Linked DNA regions of Canis lupus familiaris. The protein of the gene in region 1 purifies or fractionates together with the protein of each later gene. This does not show direct contact. Links are inferred from orthologs where the notes say so. Each region holds a gene or a part of one and is shown in the gene's direction. Other genes may lie near its edges.

Region 1 (3,746 bases):
ACAGAATGTTTTTATCCTCATTTTACATTGGTAGAAACAGGCTCAGGGAATACAAGCAATGCTTTTTAAGGTCTTATGGCAAACAAACGGCAGAACATGAATTTTAATCAGGTCCATCTGACCGTCAAACAGGGTTTCTGTCACATCCAGCCAACACACTTTGGTCATCAAGGTGGCCACTGTTTCCTTGGAGATAGAGGACGTTCACATGTGCATAGTCATCTAAATGCCAACTCTATGTACCTTGAGCCTGCACTAGAAGGAGACTAGTGCAGTGGAAGTGATGCTATTGGGGAAGGCTTTCTTAGAGAAGAACCCCTCCCACTGGCCCTGGAGGTGGAACAGGCCCCAGGGCGAAGATGGAGAAGGCAATAGTGTCAACTGTTCTCTATCTGGCTCGGTTGTGAAGGTGGGCCCAGAGCTTAAGGTGCGTAGAGGCTTTCTAGGTCCATCGCATAGCAGATGGGCCTGTCCAAGGATGATCCACTTGACGCTTCCACCAGCCAAGGTGTCCCATCGGCTGTGCCTTGGACATTCCACCATCTGGGACGAGACGGGAGCAGGCCACAGGAATCCTGCAGGAGAGCTGCACCCACCCCCGGTGCTACTCAAGACACACACGGGGAAGGGCCAAGTCCCTGATCTGTTCTCCTCCTCCTCCCTGTAGGCAGTACAGGGGCCTTGCGAGGTGATTAGAAATATGTTCCGTACATTCAGCAAGAAATCCAGTAATTCATTACCGAGTGTCCACTCCAGGGTCAGAGACTGGGATGGGAGAGGCTGGAAGGAGGAAGGGGGGGGCAGAGAGAGGGGAGCTAGAGCAGCTGGGTCAGCATTCCCGATTTGGATACTGACTCAGGCCCCAGGAATGCCAAGGAAGGGGGGTGGGCAGCCACCAGAGCTGGGCTGGGATCCTGTTGGCACCAGGATATGTAGGAACAGCACGCAGAGAGGATGTTGGGACCGGGGCTCCCACACCCTGGGACCCACCTCCAGATCACTGGTAGAAACAGATGGCTCTCATCCTGGGCCCTCAAGCCCACCACACACCTTCATGGTGAGTTCATGGTGAGTCTCCTAGCTCCCCACCTTCCTAACTCATCCCACCCCAACTTCCAGCAGAGGAAGGGATGGGCTCCTGGGATTCGAATGGGGACATCTGGACACACAGTGGCCGTTTTTCTGGGACCACCCACAAACCCCTCAGCCTCTAGCCTCCCAGCTGGCTCCCACTTGCCCCCTCTGACTCCAGCACCACCTACGACTGAAGTTTGTACAAGGAAGAAAGTTGAGCTCAACTCGCCTCCATTTCCCCTCCTTTGGCACCTGATAAAGATGAGCAGGAGCCCAGGACTCTGAAAGCCCACCTCCCACCGGTGCCCCTACAGTGCTCCAAGCCACCTCCCCCATGGCAAAGCCCTTCAAGCTCGTCCTTGAAGACCCAGGAGGGAGCCCAAGGCCAGGTCTCAAGATTCCAGGCGCCCCCCTTCCCTCCCCACCCTGCCCCAGGCTCTGGGTGGGAGCAGCTGAGCCTGCAGAGCCCTCCCTCCCGCTGCCTGACACCCAATCAGAGAGAAACCGATCCGGGGAGGGCAGGGTGCCAAGGGCCGGGCCCAGAATAGTGCCACCCGGCCAGTGTTGCGCACTTGCTCTCCGTTGGTCCGGGTTGGCCGCATGGAGCACACACTGCGCCGGGTATAGGGGTCCCCGGGGACGGGAGCTGGGGCAGCCGAGGCCAGGGGATTGCGAGCACAGCACACTGTGTGAATGTGTGTGAGTGTGTGTGTGTGCATGTGCGGCCTGGATCTTCTGTGTGTGTGTGTGTGTGTGTGTGTGTGTGTGAGCATGTGGGTGTCTGTGTGTACGTGTATTCTTCGTGTAAGCAACCTATGTGGTCCTGTGTGTGTCTGGGAATGGTTGGATGTGTGTTTTCCTGAGTGTATAAGTGTTTGTGTAAGGGGGGGTGCTTGCGGGGGTGGGTGCATGCACACGCAGGCCTGCCGGGGAGAGGACCTACCTGTGGTTCGGGAAGGTAGGGCACTTCCCCCACCCCTCCAGACCATTCTCCTCCCCACAGAACCCATCCTGGAGCAGCCTAGGGGGACCCGAGCATCAAGGTAAGTGCAGCTGCTTCCTCCTCAGGGGAAGGAAGTGCCTCTTCTCCCACTTCCTTTGTCCCCCCTCTTTGGGACCGTCATCTCCTTGGCTCTGATAGCCCATCTTTTGTCTCTCTCTCCCTCCTTTTCCTTTTTTTGCTCCTGTGTCTTTTCCTTTTCCCTTCATCACTCTTTTCTATCAGAAGAAGTTGCGGGGGTGCGGGGAGGAGGGGGAGGCGGGGAGGGGAGGGATATAGAGTCTGAAGACTCTGACCCTGGTTCTGACTTTATCACTTACTCACTGTGTGAATTGTGGCAAACCGCTTAACATCTCTGATCTCAGGTCTCTTTTTCATAAAATAAGAATGATGATAATGTCTCCCTTATAAGATTGCTAGGAGTGAGAAATATGGAGGAGAAAAACTCTTGGGAAGCTTGCAAATATTAAATGTTATTATTAATGACATTTTCATTGATTTCGTTGTGTTACTCCCTATTAACCAAACAGGCCCCATTCCCCCTTCCAGAGATGAGCTTCCTAGAACAAGGAGAGAGCACTTCATGGCCATCACCAGCCATGACCACTGGCTCAGAAAGAAGCCATGGGAAACAGGGGGCCAAGTCCTCGAGATGGACGAGGCAGGAGGTGGTGAAGGAAGGGGAGCTGCAGGGTCTGGAGGAAGGTGAGGCCAAGGCCAGTTCCGGAGAGTTGGGAGCGGGGGCAGTGGGACATCCCAGAGCCTGGGACCCAGGGCTCTGCTCTGATCCCTTCATAGAGATGGACCCAAGCCTCATCTTGTAGCCCCAGTCTGTCCATATGGGAAACGTCAACTGCACGGCAGAGCCAGAGGCCTGGCATGGCCAACTCAGGACAGAGCCACTATCTTGTGTGGCTCTGAGACTCAGCGTTCTCACCTGCAAAATGGGGCCATAGCATCCAGGCTTCCCAAGCCTGCTGTGAGGATGACCCGAGCCAGCAGATGAGAAAGCACTCTGGAAGATGGACTTATTGTCCTCTCCCCTCCAACAGATCCCCAGGCCAGGCCGCCTGCTGAGTGCACCGGGCTGGAGGCCACATTCCCCAAGGCCACACACTTGTTGCAAGCTGCCCCCCTGGCCAGGGTGGGCACCCCACCGACAGAGTGGGACATCTCCCCCCTGAACCATGCAGCCTCAGCCGTAGGCTCCAGTCCAGATGATCTGGAGCTGGATATAGAGTTCCCAGTCACAGCAGACTGGGGGTACGAGCTCGGCCTGGTGGAAGAGAGGCCTACCCTGTGCCCCTCCCCGCGGGCCCTGTTACCCAGGCCGGGCTGGGACGACGAGCTGCAGAAGCCGGGGGCCCAAGTCTACATGCACTTCATGCAGGAGCACACCTGCTACGATGCCATGGCAACCAGCTCCAAGCTGGTCATCTTCGACATCACGCTGGAGGTGAGGCCATGGTGCTGCCCCACCTCCATCCTCACGGGGCTGCAGCCACCACTCACACCCTCCAGGACACCCCGCTGGGCACCCTGCAAGTCCCCTTCCAGAACTCCTTCCTAGCACCATGGAGACCAGTGCTGGGGAGGGCTTCTCTCCCTGTCATCCTAGCTCTGCCATTTAGTATCTATAGGATCTTGGGTTAGTCACTATACCTCTCTCATC
Region 2 (3,003 bases), on another chromosome or scaffold:
TATGTGGGGTGCCAGGAGAGTCACACAGTTCCTCTTCATCCAACTCACTCATATGCTCTCCCAAGCTGCAATCCCTCCTCACTCCCAGCTGGTCCTCACCTTTTTGGATTTGTCAATGCGACGGAACTTGCGAGCCACTTCCTCAGGGATGGGAGCAGGGCCTGGAAATGGATCCTGGGCCTGGGGAAGGAGGAAGCAATTAGCAGACAGGTTAGGGTTGACCCCAACCATCGCACCTGCAAAGTACAAGGCAACTTGCCCCACCACCTTATCAGGTCCCAGGCTCACCCCGGACAAATTTCTCTGAGGCTCAAGATTTCTCTGTTCTCGAGGTTTCTTCGGGAACTGAGGCTTCCCGGGGATCCGAGACTTTTTTGGGAGGTTAATGTTCTTTGGCCTCTGGGGGCGGAGCTCTCGATTCCTTTTCTTGTTACGAGGGGGCCCTGGAGAGGCTCCGGCAGCGGTCAGAGTGGCTTCCTTCTCCCAGTACCTCCGCGGTTTCTACGGGCAGATCACAAGCTCTAACACTCCATAGCCCTCGCCCCCCCACCCCCGGGACCCCGCAGCTAAAAATTTCCCTTCCACCCTAGCGAGGTCTCTACCTTCTTCTTGGTCTGAAGTCTGGCCTTCTTGGGCTGGACATCTCTGCCGGGTTTGGAGGCTGTTTCCATCTAGCCCACCGGAACGACGACCCACGTGCAAACTTCTCTCAGCTGTCCACAGACGGCTCGGAAACTCCCGGAAGCCCGCCGGCCCTCGTCCAATCAGTGCCTACCAGGTCTGAAGCCGTCTGAGCGCCATCTTGAATGAGGGCCCACTCTCTCTCGAGGGGCGGGGCAGGTCTTGGCTCCGCAATCCCGAGCAGCCGCTTATGCCCGAGTAATGAAAGAAAGGTAGTCTGGGGCTGGGGACAAAGTAACGGTGCAGTTTTTTTTTCCAGCTCCGTTTCCCTGTCTTGCCTAAAACCTCCCGGGTCCAGTTTTCTGGGGGAACACCGTTCACTAAACGTGCCAAAACTACAGTTCCCGGCATGCGTCAGAAGACAGCTTCCGGCGCCTTCTTTTCCCAGCATTCTTTGTTTACTTCCAGGTTTAGTAATAGTGAAGCGAGAACGTGAGTATGGCTGGGTTACGGTTGAGGGGCTTGGGGTCTTGCTGCGCCCGCCACCTCCTGGGGCCTGCGTGGAGGGCTCTCTGGGACGAGGAGAGGCTGTGGTGCCCTGGGAGGCTGCCTCGCAAGAGTGCTGTCCTTTCCGCAGGCCGGGCCAGAAAGGGGAGTTTAGGTACCTCCCAGAGTGAGACCCAGCGCCCGCTCCCACTCCCCGCGGGCCTTCGTCCCCGCCATGGCTGAGCTAATCCAGAAGAAGCTACAGGGAGAAGTGGAGAAATATCAGCAGCTACAGAAGGGTAAGGGAGCAGCGTCGGCGCGGCCTCGCCCCAGACCCTTCACTTACAGCCCAAAGCCAAACCAAGATAATATGTTGTGCCCCACTAGAGGCCCCGCGTGCAGCTCCTTCCCCATCTCGGAGCTCGTCCCCACCCACTGACCTGTTGCCGCCTCCTTGTCTACTTCCTCAGCTCCGTTTTCTTCTCACCAGGATTGGGGTTAGGCGGCACATGTGATGTGTTTAATCAACCCTTTCTTCCTAACCCCCAGACTTGAGTAAATCCATGTCGGGGAGACAGAAGCTTGAGGCGCAGCTAACAGAAAATAATATCGTGAAGGAGGTGAGAGAGGGATATGCCGGGCCAGAAGGGACCTGACCTGGAAGTGATTCTGATCTTGTATGTCCCATCCCTCCATCAGGAGCTGGCCCTGCTAGATGGATCCAACGTGGTCTTTAAACTTCTGGGTCCTGTGCTGGTCAAACAGGAGCTGGGAGAGGCTCGTGCCACAGTGGGGAAGAGGCTGGACTATATCACAGCTGAAATGTGAGTCTTTGTTCTGACACCCTGCAAGGCACCGGACGCCCCCAGCGTAGAATGTCGAGGAGCCGTTGGAGTAGTTCCAGGGTAGCCCTGTCTGATCTGCTTCCTCAAACCCTCCACGGGGAGTCCAGGAGAGTCCAACCCTTCAGCACCCTCAAGAGTAAATCCCATCAATTTCTCATTTGCTTGTCTCTCTTGCCTCTCTTCAGTAAGCGATACGAATCCCAGCTCCGGGACCTTGAGCGGCAGTCAGAGCAACAGAGGGAGACCCTGGCTCAGCTGCAGCAGGAGTTCCAGAGGGCCCAGGCAGCCAAGGCAGGGGCTTCTGGGAAGGCCTGACCCCATGGGGGGGGGAGGGAATGAGGCAGCTCAAGGGTCTATGCTGTAGCTAATAAAATGTGAAAACCCCTGGCTGTTTTCTGACCAGCCACTTCCTGTCATGATGGTCTCTTCCTTGGGCCCCTTCAACTTTATATATATGCCACCTGCATTACTCTGTTCGGTCCCAATTCTCGTGACTGGAATTGCCACAGAGTAATCCTCCTTTTTTCACTGAGACTAAAATCTGAAACGTCTCACACCTACTTGCCTATATACACTACGCTTGCCTTGGTTGGCATGCCCCTTAGGAAACATGAGAAGAGCATTTACCACGCAATGATCATTGGGAAGGCCAGTTTAACTACAGAGCTCACGGTAATCTAAACTGAGACCCCAGGGTGAAATGTGGTGACCCTCTTGCTATGCTTTCTTGTCATCCTCCAGAAAGCCCCAGCATCTTAGTCTCATTCTAGAATTTGTTTGAATGAAGTTTAGGCTGATTTAAAATCCCAGCATGGAACACTTTGTGATGTTGTAAGGCCCTCAAGTTTATACGTTATCCACAAAGTCATTCTTCCATTTCTTTGTCCTAAAATTGTTTCTTACAAATGTCCAACCACGGATTGTTCTTTAATCTGCTCACTTTAATTGGTGACTGGTACTTGCTATGGGTCTGTGACAACTGAGAAGAAAAATAGCAAATAGAGGGAGCCAGCAGAGAGGTTACTGGGGAGAAGGAAACTGTTGTGAGGAA
Region 3 (3,687 bases), on another chromosome or scaffold:
CGGCCCAGCCCCCTCCACGCCCTCCCCGCGGCCCAGCCTCCTGCTCCCTCCGGCCCCGCCTCCTCCCCGCCCTCCCCGCTGCCCAGCCTCCTCCTCCTCCTCCCCGGCCCCGCCCCCTCCACGCCCTCCCCGCGGCCCAGCCTCCTCCTCCTCCTCCTCCTCCCGGCCCAGCCCCCTCCACGCCCTCCCCGCGGCCCAGCCTCCTCCTCCTCCTCCTCCTCCTCCCGCGGCCCAGCCTCCTTCTCCGCCTCCTCCCCGCCCCCTCCCGCTCCTCCCCCCGCGGCCCCGCCTCCCGCTCCTCCTCCTCCCCCGCCTCCTCCCCCCTCCTCCCCGCCCCCTCCCGCTCCTCCCCCCGCGGCCCCGCCTCCCGCTCCTCCTCCTCCCCCGCCTCCTCCCCCTCCTCCCCGCCCCCCTCCCGCTCCTCCCCCCGCGGCCCAGCCTCCCGCTCCTCCTCCTCCCCCGCCTCCTCCCCCTCCTCCCCCCCCCCCCCCCGCTCCTCCCCCCGCGGCCCAGCCTCCCCGCGGCCCCGCCTCCCGCTCCTCCTCCTCCCCCGCCTCCTCCCCCTCCTCCCCGCCCCCCTCCCGCTCCTCCCCCCGCGGCCCAGCCTCCCCGCGGCCCCGCCTCCTGCTCCTCCTCCTCCCCCGCCTCCTCCCCCTCCTCCCCGCCCCCCTCCCGCTCCTCCCCCCGCGGCCCCGCCTCCCGCTCCTCCTCCTCCCCCGCCTCCTCCCCCTCCTCCCCGCCCCCCTCCCGCTCCTCCCCCCGCGGCCCAGCCTCCCCGCGGCCCCGCCGCCGCTGCGGCAGTCATGGCTGCGGACGGGGTGGACGAGCGCTCGCCTCTGCTGTCAGCATCGCCGCCGGGAACCGTCACCCCCACGGCCCCGCCGTACTTGCAGGAGAGCAGCCCCAGAGGTGAGGCGGGCGCGGGCCTCCCGCTCGCTGCGCCGCGGCCGAGGAGGCAGGCCCCGGGGCGCTGCAGCTGGGGCGCGGCGGGCGGGTCGGCGGGCCCGGGAGCGGGGGCTGCAGACTGCGCCTGGCGCGGGCCCGGGTCCTTGAGCGCAGCCCCCAGGAGGGAGGGCGGGGTGCGGGCGCGTGCCCCGCGCCCTTCTCACGGCGGCTGTGCGTGTGCGTGTGCGTGTGCGTGTGCGAGTGCGAGTGCGAGTGCGTGTTTCAGCACTTCTTGCCCGCGGGCCGGGCGTGACAGGAATCGCCCCGGCGCAGCCCCCAGGCGCCGCTGGAGGAGGTGCACAGCCTTCGCGGCCATTCAGCCTTCCCTGCTGAGAAGCCCCTAGCACTGCTCACCTTGGGATCTGCCCTTGAAAGGGCTTAGCTTGAAAAATGTGCAGAGCGTGCCCTCGCCCCCCCCCCCCCCCCGGGCTCTGTTCAGTCAGGGAATTGTCTTACCAAGAGGAATAGCGGTAATCGATATTCCTAATATGCCTGAAATTCCTGCCTTTCCTTATTACTCCCCTTTGTAAGGAGTGTGCGTTAGCCTTGCTGGCCGATGAGGAAGCATAGGAAGGAAGATGGGATATTTCTGATGCATCTGGGTGAGGTTGAAATGAACTTACTTCTGAAAGTAACCCCGGCTAACCCTGCACGCATTTCTATTTATTTCACTTCTCAAGATGGAATCAAAAAAGATTTGATTAGCAGTGGGATCTGAAGAAAGAAGTGTATACGTGTGTGTGAGTGTGTGTGTGTGTGGGGGGGGGGTGTTTAGCAAACTATTAAAAGATCTATCTTTGTTCTAAGCCTTTTAGTGGCTTTCTATAGTAGAAAGAAGGTGGAGTCACGATTTATTGAAAAGGGAAGGCAAGACTTGAAAACCACTTAGAGTTATGAAAAGAATGGCCAAATATGGCACTTGCAAATGTAGCTTAAGTGCATCTCTCCCTTTCCAGCCGAATATGAGAGGAGTTTCAGAAATCCCAAGGAGACAAAATGTTAGTGCTTTCGAAAACGTAGGCAGATCATGTTTCTTGTAACACAACTTCTTGTAAGTTCAAGTCTGGAATTGGAGCAGTTGTAGAGCAAGTTGGACTTGTTTAGTATTTAAAATTTCCACTTAATGGTAACATTGTCCCCAACTTGAAGAGGAACAATCTAGGTCTTAGTCAACACCTTACAAGAAGCAGGACAAAGGAAAAAGATGTTTTGCTGTGAATAATGGAGTGTGATCAATCAGTTGAGAAATAAGGTGCAAAATGGGACAGAGACTTATCTACAGGAAAAACCCCAAGTCATGTTTGTATTAAAGGTGTATCAGAGGACACCAGCTGGAGGAATTTCCTTTAATGCACAAATTTGATATTAATAAAAAATCAAAATCGGGTCGGTCTAGGATAAGTTTAAACATTTATAAATGAATGTTGCAACTTCCCCAAGTGACCCTTTAGGGCAAAATATTTGCAGTTTATTAAAAGACAAGGTTTGGATTTAAACAACTGTCCTATGACAGATTTTCATGTCCTCTGTCTTACATCTTTGTTTTTGTATTTTTAGTCATAGTGGCTAAATTATTCCACAAATGTGTTCATGCTCATGGACCTGCTTATAGATTTCTTTATCATTTGCCACATATTTGTCTAATCTGGTAAGACCAGATTAACTGCACAATCAGGTACAAATCACAGTTCAGCCACTGAAGAAATTCAAAATATTAAAACGCAAAATGCCATGGGGTAAATGTTAAAGATCTTACTGGCTTTATTTAATGATTCGTGATTCTAGCAGCATCCCATCTAGCAGATAGAAAGGAGTTTCAAAAAGCTGTACCAAATGAAAGCCTTCCATGGGCAGAAGGGAGTGGGAAAAAGGCAAAAAGTGGATGGGTTGTGGCAAGATCACTTTCATTTAGGGGATGGGGGTGGTCTGTCAGGCAGATGACCTCACTAGTGCTAATAAGGTAGTTCTTGACGGACGTTCCAAGATTCCATTTCTGGGTGAGGCCAAAAGTGTAATTAAGGCTGTATTTGGTGATGTGGAGCTTAGCATAAGTGACTCCATTTTGAGCCTGTTGTCTTGTTTTTAACAACTGATTTAGCAAAAAGCCATTTCGGCCTTATGATAGAGTACAGTTGTGTTTTTTTTCCTTAAACTGGTAAATAAGACAGGTTAGCTAATTAGAAATGCTAATTTCATGTGGCATAGTACCTAGGAAGCAAGAAGCATAAATTAGAAGTAAAGACATTTTATGTTATTGGCATTTATGTCAGAATATCTTTTCTTAAATAACAAATAAGCATCTTCATAAATGTTTTGAGTGATACACAGATCTGATTCTAGGAGACCTGTGGTATTTACTCTTTCATTGATTCATTGGGCAGTATGGTGTGCCAGAGTCGGCTCTAGGTCAACAAAACTGACCAAACATGCCCCCTCTTGAAACCCACATCGAAATGAAAAAAAAGAATAAACACGGGGCTGAATTATTTGTATTGTAAGAAACTGTTCCTAGACCAGATGTTTTCAGTAGTTGACAGGAATTAAAGGTTGGGATTCAAAAGACTGGAATAGAATGTACTTTTTGATAATGAACTTTGGTTTATGATACCATTTGTAATCACCCAGAATTTTTTTTTTTAAGTAGTTAAGAGCCATAGCTAATGACTATTCTCTCCAGTTGAACCCTTTGCTATTTGTGTCACCACCGTCTAAGAACACGAATGTTAGCTCTCACTCAAAGAT

Evidence for each region. The genes of interacting proteins can lie anywhere in the genome.
Region 2: the proteins of PRKAG3 (region 1) and PFDN6 purify together in Homo sapiens (affinity purification with mass spectrometry; 3 studies listed by BioGRID and IntAct, with this or other methods). This does not show direct contact. The link is inferred for Canis lupus familiaris from reciprocal best matches to the Homo sapiens genes PRKAG3 and PFDN6.
Region 3: the proteins of PRKAG3 (region 1) and PIP4P2 purify together in Homo sapiens (affinity purification with mass spectrometry; 3 studies listed by BioGRID and IntAct, with this or other methods). This does not show direct contact. The link is inferred for Canis lupus familiaris from reciprocal best matches to the Homo sapiens genes PRKAG3 and PIP4P2.

Annotation. Positions count from the first base shown.
Region 1 is NC_049258.1:25,287,752-25,291,497, reverse strand, and holds the start of PRKAG3 (5'-AMP-activated protein kinase subunit gamma-3), read left to right. Parts: upstream 1-927; 5' UTR 928-954; coding exon 955-1,057; coding exon of another isoform or gene 1,058-1,068; intron 1,069-1,252; exon of another isoform or gene 1,253-1,335; coding exon 1,336-1,463; intron 1,464-1,583; exon of another isoform or gene 1,584-1,674; coding exon of another isoform or gene 1,675-1,695; intron 1,696-2,077; coding exon 2,078-2,117; intron 2,118-2,604; exon of another isoform or gene 2,605-2,623; coding exon 2,624-2,779; intron 2,780-3,126; coding exon 3,127-3,530; intron 3,531-3,746. UniProt on the Homo sapiens protein: AMP/ATP-binding subunit of AMP-activated protein kinase (AMPK), an energy sensor protein kinase that plays a key role in regulating cellular energy metabolism.
Region 2 is NC_049233.1:2,883,332-2,886,334, forward strand, and holds PFDN6 (prefoldin subunit 6), read left to right. Parts: upstream 1-1,071; 5' UTR 1,072-1,113; intron 1,114-1,258; 5' UTR 1,259-1,342; coding exon 1,343-1,406; intron 1,407-1,656; coding exon 1,657-1,727; intron 1,728-1,806; coding exon 1,807-1,931; intron 1,932-2,137; coding exon 2,138-2,267; 3' UTR 2,268-2,368; downstream 2,369-3,003. Other genes in the region: WDR46 (WD repeat-containing protein 46), read right to left, coding at 100-180, 289-501, 603-671. UniProt on the Homo sapiens protein: Binds specifically to cytosolic chaperonin (c-CPN) and transfers target proteins to it. Binds to nascent polypeptide chain and promotes folding in an environment in which there are many competing pathways for nonnative proteins.
Region 3 is NC_049250.1:37,070,844-37,074,530, reverse strand, and holds the start of PIP4P2 (type 2 phosphatidylinositol 4,5-bisphosphate 4-phosphatase), read left to right. Parts: upstream 1-752; 5' UTR 753-803; coding exon 804-909; intron 910-3,687. UniProt on the Homo sapiens protein: Catalyzes the hydrolysis of phosphatidylinositol-4,5-bisphosphate (PtdIns-4,5-P2) to phosphatidylinositol-4-phosphate (PtdIns-4-P).